3 linked regions of the Astyanax mexicanus genome follow. The protein of the gene in region 1 interacts with the protein of each later gene in a pairwise test. Links are inferred from orthologs where the notes say so. Each region holds a gene or a part of one and is shown in the gene's direction. Other genes may lie near its edges. The genes, in order: araf, nelfcd and mitochondrial import inner membrane translocase subunit TIM44.

Evidence for each region.
Region 2: the proteins of araf (region 1) and nelfcd interact in binary tests that used the Homo sapiens proteins (3 or more experiments, as listed by UniProt). The link is inferred for Astyanax mexicanus from reciprocal best matches to the Homo sapiens genes ARAF and NELFCD.
Region 3: the proteins of araf (region 1) and mitochondrial import inner membrane translocase subunit TIM44 interact in binary tests that used the Homo sapiens proteins (3 or more experiments, as listed by UniProt). The link is inferred for Astyanax mexicanus from reciprocal best matches to the Homo sapiens genes ARAF and TIMM44.

Annotation. Positions count from the first base shown.
Region 1 is NC_064429.1:9,224,405-9,228,159, reverse strand, and holds the start of araf (serine/threonine-protein kinase A-Raf), read left to right. Parts: upstream 1-1,035; 5' UTR 1,036-1,115; intron 1,116-1,256; exon of another isoform or gene 1,257-2,840; intron 2,841-3,755. UniProt on the Homo sapiens protein: Involved in the transduction of mitogenic signals from the cell membrane to the nucleus. May also regulate the TOR signaling cascade. Phosphorylates PFKFB2.
Region 2 is NC_064412.1:43,669,256-43,673,010, forward strand, and holds the start of nelfcd (negative elongation factor C/D), read left to right. Parts: upstream 1-1,233; 5' UTR 1,234-1,352; coding exon 1,353-1,400; intron 1,401-1,616; coding exon 1,617-1,729; intron 1,730-3,626; coding exon 3,627-3,736; intron 3,737-3,755. Other genes in the region: atp5f1e (ATP synthase subunit epsilon, mitochondrial), read right to left, coding at 527-650, 839-870. UniProt on the Homo sapiens protein: Essential component of the NELF complex, a complex that negatively regulates the elongation of transcription by RNA polymerase II.
Region 3 is NC_064411.1:48,748,435-48,752,189, reverse strand, and holds the start of mitochondrial import inner membrane translocase subunit TIM44, read left to right. Parts: upstream 1-872; 5' UTR 873-917; coding exon 918-947; intron 948-2,268; coding exon 2,269-2,364; intron 2,365-3,755. UniProt on the Homo sapiens protein: Essential component of the PAM complex, a complex required for the translocation of transit peptide-containing proteins from the inner membrane into the mitochondrial matrix in an ATP-dependent manner.

The DNA of each region.
Region 1 (3,755 bases):
CAAGAAGTGCATATATGTATATGTATGTAAATCCAAAACATTTTATAGCTCCTTTTTTAAGTTGGTCCTAAATTTTAGGGTTGGCAGTAGAACATACAAAACACATTTCACAGAACTTAAATTAGACCAAATAAATTAAGTGATTAGAAGTTTTAATTTGTGGGATTTTGACACTTGAAAGTAAGAGGCAGGGGTATAAAGGAGAAATGGGACTGGGCCATAGACTAGACCTGGTGGATGCTTTTATTTGGCCTGTAGAGAAAATTTACAGCAGCTGAAGAAACAAGTGACAGATTAAAACAACACTTCAGCAGTATCTCACTGCACTGCAGAGGTCAAACAGTGCATTTAGCCTGTAGCTCAACATACTGAGGGCCTGAGCTGCCCTCTAGTGTTCTAACTACACTGTAATTACACACTTACTGCACACACTGCCTTTAAACTATCTTATTAAATAGTGGTTTAAAATCTGAATTTAAATTACACTCTTTATTTATGTATCTATTTATTTTTATATTTAATATTACTATCTAATATCATATATACATCTTATATCATTTACATCTTTACAACTCCTCTTGCATAGTCTATAGATAACACTTATTACTCACACATATTATAATTGTGCATCAGCAGTATATTTTTTATTTCTTGCAAATTCTTAATATATATTTTTATTTTTTTACGTATGCACACTCCTGTCTATCTATCTATCTATCTATCTATCTATCTGTCTGTCTGTCTGTCTGTCTATAAGTAAAGTAAGCAGTAAGAGTTTTGTGGATTTGACCGATCCTTTGATCTGTAAAACTCTTTTGACCAATGAGAGACGCTATTTCTCAACAACAAACCAATTACATCTCAACAGGTGGGCGTTCCTTTCATCGTGTAGCCAATCAGGGTAGCGTTTTCTAAAAACAGACCAAACAGATCACAAGGAGTAGGCGTTCCTTCCACAGTGTGGAACACGTTTCACCAATCCGGGACGCGTGCTTTAAAAAGAGACCAATCCGAGCGAAGATCTGCAGCAACCGGGCCAATCAGAGCGCTCCGCTGCGCGTCTGAAATCTTCTGATCCGACTTCAGATTGAGAGAATTCAAGATGGCGGGCTCAGGTGAGTATTTACTTCAGCAGCAGAGTGAGGGAGAGTCCGCGGGGAAACAGCGCGGGTCCGGGGGGGAGCCGGGGGCAGGGAGCAGCAATAGCCGGCCGGCTCGGCTCGGTTCGGGTGCCGGTTCGGGGGGACCCGGGTGGCGGGCTGCAGCGGGACTTTCTGAAGCAGAAGAGCAGCTCGGCTAACAGCAGCTAGCCTGTTAGCTTAGCGGCTAAACACAGCTAATCCCTTTCCGCCTCACCGACACGGAGCTGCCGCTCCTCCGTACCCGCCCGGACCGAACCCCGAGCCCCGCCGGTCCTGCCCGGCTCCACCAGCGGAACCGACTCACCCACGGACCCCGCTGCGGGCCCGGGCCTGCCTGTGCTATCGGGCTAAAGAGCTGTGAGTGTAGCTACCGCTCCACAGCAGGGCTGGGTGATTTATTCAGATATCAGTTGTATCACGATATTTACCTGTAACCTTTTTACCTATAACATTTTACCGTTTTACCGATATACCGAGAGATATCACAATATACTGGCATTCATAAGAAATGCACTTGTAGCAGCAGATTCTTAAAATGTATTAAATATTACTCCTTGTACTTACAGTAGTCAATTTACCTTTCTGTCTGCCTTGTGTGTCTATCTATGTACCTGTCTATGCATCTGTCTTGTCTGCCTGTCTATCTATGTGTCTGTCTGTCTTTCTATGTCCCTGTCTATGTATCTGTCTCTCTGTCTTGTCGGTATGTCGGTCAGTCATCTGTCTGTCTGTATCTTATCTGTCTAGCTGTCTGTTCATTTAAAAACCTGTCTGTCTATCTATGTACTTGTCTTATCTATCTGTCTGTCTTTCTATATACCTGTCTTATTGTCTGTCTGGTTTGTCTGTCTGTATATCTAAAAAATGGCTAAAAAGTTTATTTTTTAGGGATTTAGGCCTCACTCTGATGAGAATAGGTTATTGCACAGAGCATGTGTAAGAATCATTTTAAACTTGGTGGGTGTGATGCGGTCCAGAGCAGATGAATCCGATTCCAGGTTATGTTTAGTAAGAGAGTGAGAGAGAGAGAGAGAGAGAGAGAGAGAGAGAGAGAGAGAGAGAAAGAAAGCGCTCAGTGAGAAATTTCACTCCTTCGTTTCTTTGGTTTTACCATGAGTAAATAAACTACTGAGCTCTGAGTTTCCTCTTCTGAAGTCTCCACTGCTCCACCAGTCACTCGCTTTCAGCTGTAAAAGCGTAAAACTGAGCCGGATCCTCTTTTAGAGGCTGTACGTGTGACATAAGTACGTAAAGACGCGTGACGTGGCCAGAAGAACTGTAAAAAGCAACCCGACACCCCAGTTTTTAGACTGAATATATTATTAGGCTTAGCAGGGATGTTTGCTCCAGCACAATGGTACAATTAAACGCAATATTTTATCCACATTCTTCTCCACTCAGAAATGCTTCTGCTTTCAGTTTAGAAACTAAATAACATGGACTTCTGCTTTAATATCAGTGTTCTTATTTTAAAAAGGTGTTTTAAATTTTGTCTCTGAGTGGTATTAATTAAAAAGGTGTGAAGAAGTAACCTGTCCTGATCTGAGTTTGGTTTTCTCTCAGGGCTCCTGTGGATTATCCTACCAGCAGGTGGAGCTTTCTGTAGCTTATCAGGTGTTTGTGAGAGGCTGGAGAGCTTTGATCAGGGGTTTCCACACCTTTCCTTAGCTTTCCTGCACAGGTTCAGCTGAGGTTAAGGTGAGCAGTGCACGAGTCAGGTGCCTGGTGCGGTCCTAGCGAATGGAGTAGTCAGGTGCTGGGAGAGGATATGAAGCTGTGATTGGACAGAAGAGTGATTCAGTTTCCCAGACAGGGATTAAGCCTAGTCATGGATGGATATATTTAAATGGATATTTTCCATTGAAAAGAAAATTTAGTCTATGACTTGGCTTAATCCCTGCCCTTTAGTCTGTCTGTCAGTATATAATTAATATAAGATTTATATACAGCATTAGACAAAAATAAGAGGCAACTTAAAAACGATTTTCTTTGATTTTACCAAATTGAAAACATCTGGAATATAATCAAAAGGAAGATGGATGCCATCCAACCAAGAATTTTTGCACCATGAGTGTCATAAAGTTATCCAAAAGCAGTGTGTAAGACTGGTGGAGGAGAACATGATGCCAAGATACATGAACAAAAACTGTGATTAAAAAACAGGGTTATTCCACCAAATATTGATTTCTGAACTCTTAGAACTTTATGAATATAAACTTTATTGCATTATTTTTTTTGCATTATTTGAGGTCTGAAAACTGAAAAAAATGCTCTAAATGGCAATATTTGTATTTGGAATTTGGGAGAAAGGTTATATATACCAATAAATAACAAAATCAGAGAAACCGATTTAGAAAATTAATTGGTCTCACGCTCAATTTGTTCCAAAGCTATATAAGCGATGTGTAACTAAAGTGTAACTAAAATACTGTAGTCATGTTTTGAGTTCGAAGTGGATATATAAGTACAGTTAAGTAACAAGTGCTGAGTCAACATTTAGCTCATCTTACGGCTCATGTAGCTTTTGTGGGGTTGCCAAGTATGTCTTGCATCAGTGAAAGTCTGTGTCAGCGTTAGAACTTGAAATTCCTGTTCCTGGTTGCATTATACAGG
Region 2 (3,755 bases), on another chromosome or scaffold:
TTCACCATTTGCCCTTAAATGAACAGCAGGGCAAGGGCTAACCATTAGATTTAAGGTCAATGGGTTGTTTCAACAAGAAGTTGAATTTCGCAGTGATGAGATGGTCTGCTAAACAGTCTGTAAGCGCGTGCACGTAGCATGATAAAAAGTATTTTTAAAAGGTGCACTGTGGTAGACTCCTTTTAGAGTCAATGAATCTGGTGATTTTAATGAGGATGGCTGAGTTGCGCTCTTTCAGCATGCCAGCTCTCTTTAGATCTGTCTCACCACTGAATGAACAGATAAAGACAGTCATTCAGATATTTATCTACATGTTCGCAGCAGCTCAGTGCCATTAGCAGCAATCTGGCTGCTCAGGTATGCAAAAAAGGCAGTCAAAGGCAGACCGTCCCGGACAGAACAGACACCCTGCTGGGTTTATTTTTTAGAATGAATAACGTTGCTTTGCAGGAATATTAGTAGAAACACACCAAAAATAGTTATAGTTTAAATATAAATCAACAAAATCTGATAAACACTTACATTTTTACGCGGTTTTCACTTTATTAACTCGAACGCTGGATTCTGCATTTTTCACAGCCTCTACTCTGAACTGCGGCTTCAGAGCCGCCCGGACCACCCGGGCGCAGACAGCGGAGTACCTGATGTAGCTGAAGGGAAAGAAAAGCGGATATTCACAAACACGGAGGAGAAACATATGCGTCTCTCAGGGTCACTCAGACAGCTAGCATTGAGGCTAAAGCTAACAGACCAGCGTATTTTTCACAACACCAACACACACACACTTTAATAACCATCACGAGATCCGCACAGCTCAGCTACTAAACCCCGCCGGTACCTGAGTCCAGCCTGCCTCCAGTACGCGACCATCTTTACTCTGCTTCTGCTGCGGATCCGCGGAGAGAGGAACCTTAACTCAACGACAACCAAGGACGAACTGCAGGCCTGCTACCAGAGGAAATAGCGTCTCCACATCCGGTCCCTCCTTATTGGTTCATCTTCGCGTCAGTCATCTGTTTACTGAACAATAAGCAGCCCTGCCTGGAGCCAGATCACCTTTAAAACGCATATATATATATATTACATTTAATTTACGGATTATTTTATTAAGTAAGTAACAACTATCCTTAGCAGTTATTATAATCCTAAAACACAAGATCTAGTATTATTTTCGTCCGGACCTTTCTGCCCCTCCAGAGCAGCAGGCGGCAGTGTGTGTGTGTGTGTGTGTGTGTGTGTGTGTGTGTGTGTGTGTGTGTGTAGTTAATGCGGCCGCAGTGCTAGAGCTGGTTCTTGTTCATTTTGTAAACAGATCGTTATTATAAAGCGGACTCAATCTAGGATCAGCGGAGATGGATGAGGAGTATTACAGCGGTTCGGGAGAGTGGGACGGAAACGTGGTGGGAAACTGTGCCAGGCTGAATTTACCTTAAATAACAGTGCAGCAGCAGTTCAAGTCTGATCAACAATAAGTTTTTTCTTTAAATGCAGCGTTTTGCTGTTTACATTTACCTAGCGATCATTTATAAAGCGTTTATTTTAGAAAATTACTCACAGTACAGGACATTACAGCCTCTAAAATTTCTAAGTGTGTGTTCTGTGTGTTGGTTAATAAGGACGGATATGTAATGGATGCAGAAGCAAATGGGAAGATCCAGGAGGACTGCCTCCAGAAGTTCTCCAGCAGAGACTATATCATGGAGCCTACAGTCTTTAACACATTAAAAACGTAAGTACTTTAGAAACGTGTTCTGTTTAATCACCCAGAGCCCATATATACACTGCCAGGTCATAAAGTCTTGGATTTAAGTAAGTGAGTAAATGATGTGGGGTTGATGCTGCAGTTGGTCAGGTCAAGGTTCAGCAACAGTATGTTGACTACCTAAATATATATCAAATCAAATCAAATTTATTTCTATAGCGCTTTTTACAACTGGTGTTGGCACAAAGCAGCTTTACAGAAACATGATTACAGGACAAAGAATCAGGCAAAACATTAAACATAGAAAATACATAATACAGAACCCCCAGTGAGCGCGGAGGCAAGGAAAAACTCCCTCAGAGCTGCAGGAGGAGGAATAAACCTTGGGAGGACCAAGACTCACATTAAAGGGGAGACCATCCTACCACTGGTCAAATGGCTTTTAAATTAATTTTAAAAAGTCTTTCATACATCCACATAGGTCTTATATATTCAGGTGTATAGCAGCTCCACTAATGGCTTATAGAGTAAGATGGATGATGAGCAGCTGATCTGTGGTGGTGGATGGAGAAGAGCTGACTTCAGTAACTTCCAGTCTGGCCAGACAGAGGACATGAGAGCCTGAGGGTCCAACATCCCTCGGTATCGGGTCAGACAGGTGGGCAGTCAGTAACTCGGAGGAAGGCAGAGAGATGGAATTAGTTTTGACTGAATTTATGTAAAACAGAGAATATAAAACATTATCAGAGTGTGGCTAATGACTCCGGCAGAACTGAATAAAACAGCCTAACTAAAGGCAGAGAGCCAGAAGGTAACATAGACATGGAGGCTCCCTGAAACACTGGCATCCACCCACTCCACCGTCCACAAACCTGAGTGACCGTGTGCAGTGGGAGAACAGCAGCACCAGCATCTCAGTTTACCACAATTCCCTCTGTCCATGAACCCCTGAATCTGCAGCCTTATCTAAAGGGAAAAACATTAATTACCAAAAGCTAAACTAAACAAGTAAGTTTTCAGTCTAGACTTAAAGATTGAGACTGTGTCTGAGTCCCGAACATATTCGGGGAGATTATTCCAGAGTTGAGGCGCTTTATAAGAGAAAGCTCTTCCTCCTGCAGAGCTCCTCTGAATTTTAGGAACTACTAATAAACCAGCACCCTGAGATCTAAGTAATCGCGGTGGTTCATAACAGGAGATGAGGTCTCGTAAATACTCAGGAGCGAGCCCGTGTAGGGCTTTATACGTTAACAGGAGAATTTTATAGTCTATGCGGACTTTGACTGGAAGCCAATGCAGTGCTGACAGGACTGGACTAATATGCTCAAATTTTCTAGTTTTAGTAAGGACCCTGGCTGCAGCATTTTGAACTAGCTGAAGTTTATTTAATTTACTGCCAGAACATCCAGACAGTAGCGCATTACAGTAATCTAGCCTTGAGGTAATGAAGGCATGGACTAATTTTTCTGCGTCACGCAGTGATAGGGTGTTTCTTAGCTTGGCGATGTTACGTAGGTGTAGAAAAGCTGTTCTAGTAACATTAGATATGTGTTTATCGAATGCTAGATCTGAATCTATAATAACTCCAAGGTTTTTAGCTGCTGAACCAGGTGTGACTGAGAAGTCAGACAGATTTAGCATTAAGTCTGATAATTTATTTCTAGCAGCTTTGGGGCCTAATAGGAGAACTATACTGAATATAGACCAGGTTATTCCATCAATTTTTTTTTTCTTCCCTGATGGCACAGGTATATTTTAAGATGACATGACAGGATTCATTGGGCTGAAATTGTAAAAGAGTGGTTTAGGGAGCATGGCGGTCCAACAAAATGTTAGAGTGTGTGACTTTTTTTTCTGGCCAGGCAGTGTAAATATATATGTTTGTGAATATGCACGAGAATCTAATTCCACTGTGTTTTCACAGGTATTTTCAGGCAGGTGGTTCACCTGAACATGTCATCCAGCTCCTGTCAGAGAATTACTCTGCTGTGGCACAGACTGTCAACCTGCTGGCTGAGTGGCTCATTCAGATGGGTTTGTACTGCTTTAACAC
Region 3 (3,755 bases), on another chromosome or scaffold:
CCTGCAAGTGGCAGCTGCCAGTTAGTTAGTGGCATTAATCAGCATGGCAGATTTGATTTAAGTTTATTAACCCTTTCAATGGTCAAATTGTGACAGCCAATCATAAGTATTATGATAGTAGCTTGGCCCCACCCACTATCCATTGGAAAAATAGAGTAAACACCACCCCACAATATGATATATATTTTTTTACTGCTTAGGAATGTTTTGTGAAATAGAAAAAATATAGATAATGAATATATCATGGTTAAACCAATTATTCTACTTTTTTATTATTCCATAACTTATAGAACAGAAACAAGAAAAAAAAAATATTGATGTATTTATTTATTTATTTATTTATAATTTTATAAATTATTAATTGTTTTTTTTAAAAGCACCACCAATGTTTGCGTGCAGTTCAAATACAGATTTATTTTTTTATTTTTATTTTTGTTTATATTGTTAATAGAACAGAGCCAGGAAAATATATATATATATATATTTTTTTTCTCTTTTATTAAGAATGCACTTTCTGCAATGCTCTTAAAAACAAGACTCAGAAAATAGATAAATAAAATAATAAATAATCCAATATACATTAAATAGTTTTTCTTATTTTTCTTTGTTCTGTATTGTATTATTAACAAAATAAACTAATTTTAAAAAAAAAATAAAACATACAGTTTAAATGCTAAGTTAAAAAAAAAAAATATATATATATATATATATATATATATATATATATATATATATATATTGTCATTAATATAATATGAAAAACAAATAAGTTAAAGAATATTTCTAGAGATGTATTTAAATTTATTTAGTATTACATTTAATGATTTAATGAACATGACCTGTTACACGTACGCCACCTCCCCCCGGATGACGTCGGTGATCAGCTGACCCGCAGTGTGACGCAACCTGAGTGAAAGATGGCGGCGTCCTTGTGCAGGTGCTCTGGGGTGAGGTTACTGTTAATATGCGCTGTTTCTGCGGTATTTGGCGGCTAAATATCGGCAATAAAGCGGCGATAGATAAACACGCAGCTGTGTTATATTGGCAGCGCGTGGAGGGGGCGGGTCTCTGTGTTTCTGTCTCTTTTCTGCTTTCTGTTAATCCGCATTGCAGATCTTTCAGCTTCCATCCATTCATTTCTAGCCAACACTGACTACATATACATGAGCTACTGTGTGTGTAACATTCACTGCACGTTTTTGTATTTTCTGTCGAAATGTCTATAGAGATATAGCCTTTAGTGTTTAGTTATTATACTTAGGAAAAGAGTGCTAGGTGACTATTAAAACTCAGTCATGGAGCTCCTCATGGGGTCTCCAATAGACTTGTGGCTGATTGGGGACAGGAGTTCTTATTGACAATGAATGGAGGTGAGACCATGGATATTGTAGTAATCACTATTCAGTGCTAGAAGACACGATGATATGATAAGAGTTTAGATATGGTCTGATTTAAATAATCTTTAAAAGCCCACTTTACCTATTATTATCTACTTTTCACAACTGCTTTCAGCACTCCTCTGTTTCTACACATTTTACATGTGCATAACAAGGTCAAAAGTGTGGATACATCTCTTCTAATTCAATATTTTCCTTCTTTATATGATTTTTTACATTGTAAATTTAATATTGAAGACTATATTACAGCTATACAGGAAGACATGTTGAATAAATATGTAAACAAAAAAGGTTTAACCAGAATATGTTGTATTCTTTAGATTCTTTAGAAGTAGCACATTTACCTGTTAATCTCAGTGTCTTCATGAGGGAGAGGCACCTGGAATAGTTTTCTCAGCATCTTGAAGGATTTTCTGGAGGTGCTGAATGATAGTTGGTGCTTTTCCTTCCTTCACACTGTGGTTTAGGTTTAGGTCAGGAGATTGTGGAGAACAAACACTGTTTTTTTTACTGTGTAATGAAATAAAAACATTAAATAAGGAGGTGTATCCAAACTTTTGACTGGTACTCTACACCTCACTGAATGGAAATATTACCTGCTATACTGTTTACAGTGGACTATCTAAGTGTTCTATTATATTGTTACATTCTTATTTTAGTCTCATTTCTGTTTCTTGGTTTACTGTGATATGCAAATTTCCCTCTGGCATTATTAAAGTTTTGTATATAGCTAGATGACCTAGAAATGATTTGGTCTTAAAGACAAGACCAATGTAAAATAAAATATAAAACAGTAATAATAAATGTAAGAGAGTGGTTTGAATGTACTTTTTAATAAATGTGAAATATTTAGTGTTTTTCTGTTTTGCAGCTCTTGCTCAGGAGAAGCACAGTCCTGTCTGCAGCATGTCGGAATCCTGTGTTAAGTTCAGGCAGGGTCCAGGGGTGCCAGTCAGTGGCTGTACAGGTAAATCACCTTCTCTTTCAGACATCAAGGTGGTTTGAACTGATGTTGGTGTGTGGTTTATTAATATATAAAACCATCTCATCACGATTTTACTTTTTTTGTTTAATTACTACTTGCAGTATTTCACCTAACATAATGTTCGTAATGTGAATACTTGTATTTTTATTAATACTTTATTTATATCCTTTGTAATTGTTAGAAGAAAGAAGTACTTTTCAGGACTTCAGTACTAGCCATTAAACAGTGCTCATTAAGCAGGGAGGGCTATGGGCCTTGCTCAGTGGCCCAACATTGGCAGCTATTTTATTGAAATATATTTGTTTATTTAATAATATAATATGGGAAATAAATAAGTTAAATATTATTTCTACAGATGTAATTGACTTTATTTAGTATAAAATTTAAATCATGACCGGTCACACGTACGCCACCTCTCTTCAGATGATGTTGATGATCAGCTGACCTAATAACTATTTACAATATTATACATTACATGATGTTCTGTACATACTTGTATGTTTATTTATATTTTATTTATATAATGTATAATTATACGAATTGAGCAGAAAGGGCTAAGGGCCTTGCTCAATGGCCCAACATTGGCAGCTATTTCAATTAGCTTCTGTGATCAAATTTACAGAGCTGGAGGTATACAAAAATATCAGTACGTAGCAAGGTATTGTGATTTTATGTTTTGCTATATTTTATTGCTTCATTTTTCTTCAGGTTTCCCCCTTTATGTGCAAATATGCATCAAAATTAAACAAGAAAAGAAGAAATGATGGTTGTTTGCCACACGTCCATGTTCAGAACCACACAGCTAAGGATAGGAATGAAGTGCTGGTGAAAACCAAAACTTCAGTAGCAGAAGCTAGTTACCTCAGACCTCCATGTCTGATTGGTTTGATTCGGTGGTCTGTAACAGTGCCGATTGCTGCTTGCTGCTGAATTGTGGCTACAAATCACATCTATAAATTGCGTCGTTGCTTAGAAAATGGCTGGCCATGTGTCGCTCTGTTGCCTGCTAGTCTGAATAAAGGGTCATATTTTGTGTTGCTTACAGTTTCACAGTATATTTCCATATATTGCAATATATGGAAGTGTAACTTTCTACTTTCTTTTATATTGTAGTAAGTATTGTATCCAGATTCTTGCCAATATACAGTTAAACTACATTAACCTCTAAGCCAATTGAGTTGTTGACTTCTTTCCTGACTCTGAAGTGTATTTTGGCTCAGTATCTTGCTGAGTAATGAAGGATGACCATGTTACATGTGACCCTGATGTGTTGATGTACTTGAAGGATGATTTTTTTTGTTGAATAAAACGAAGCTCATATTTGAGCAGTGCTGAGTTATATAAACGATTTTTAAATATATTGGTATCCTGTG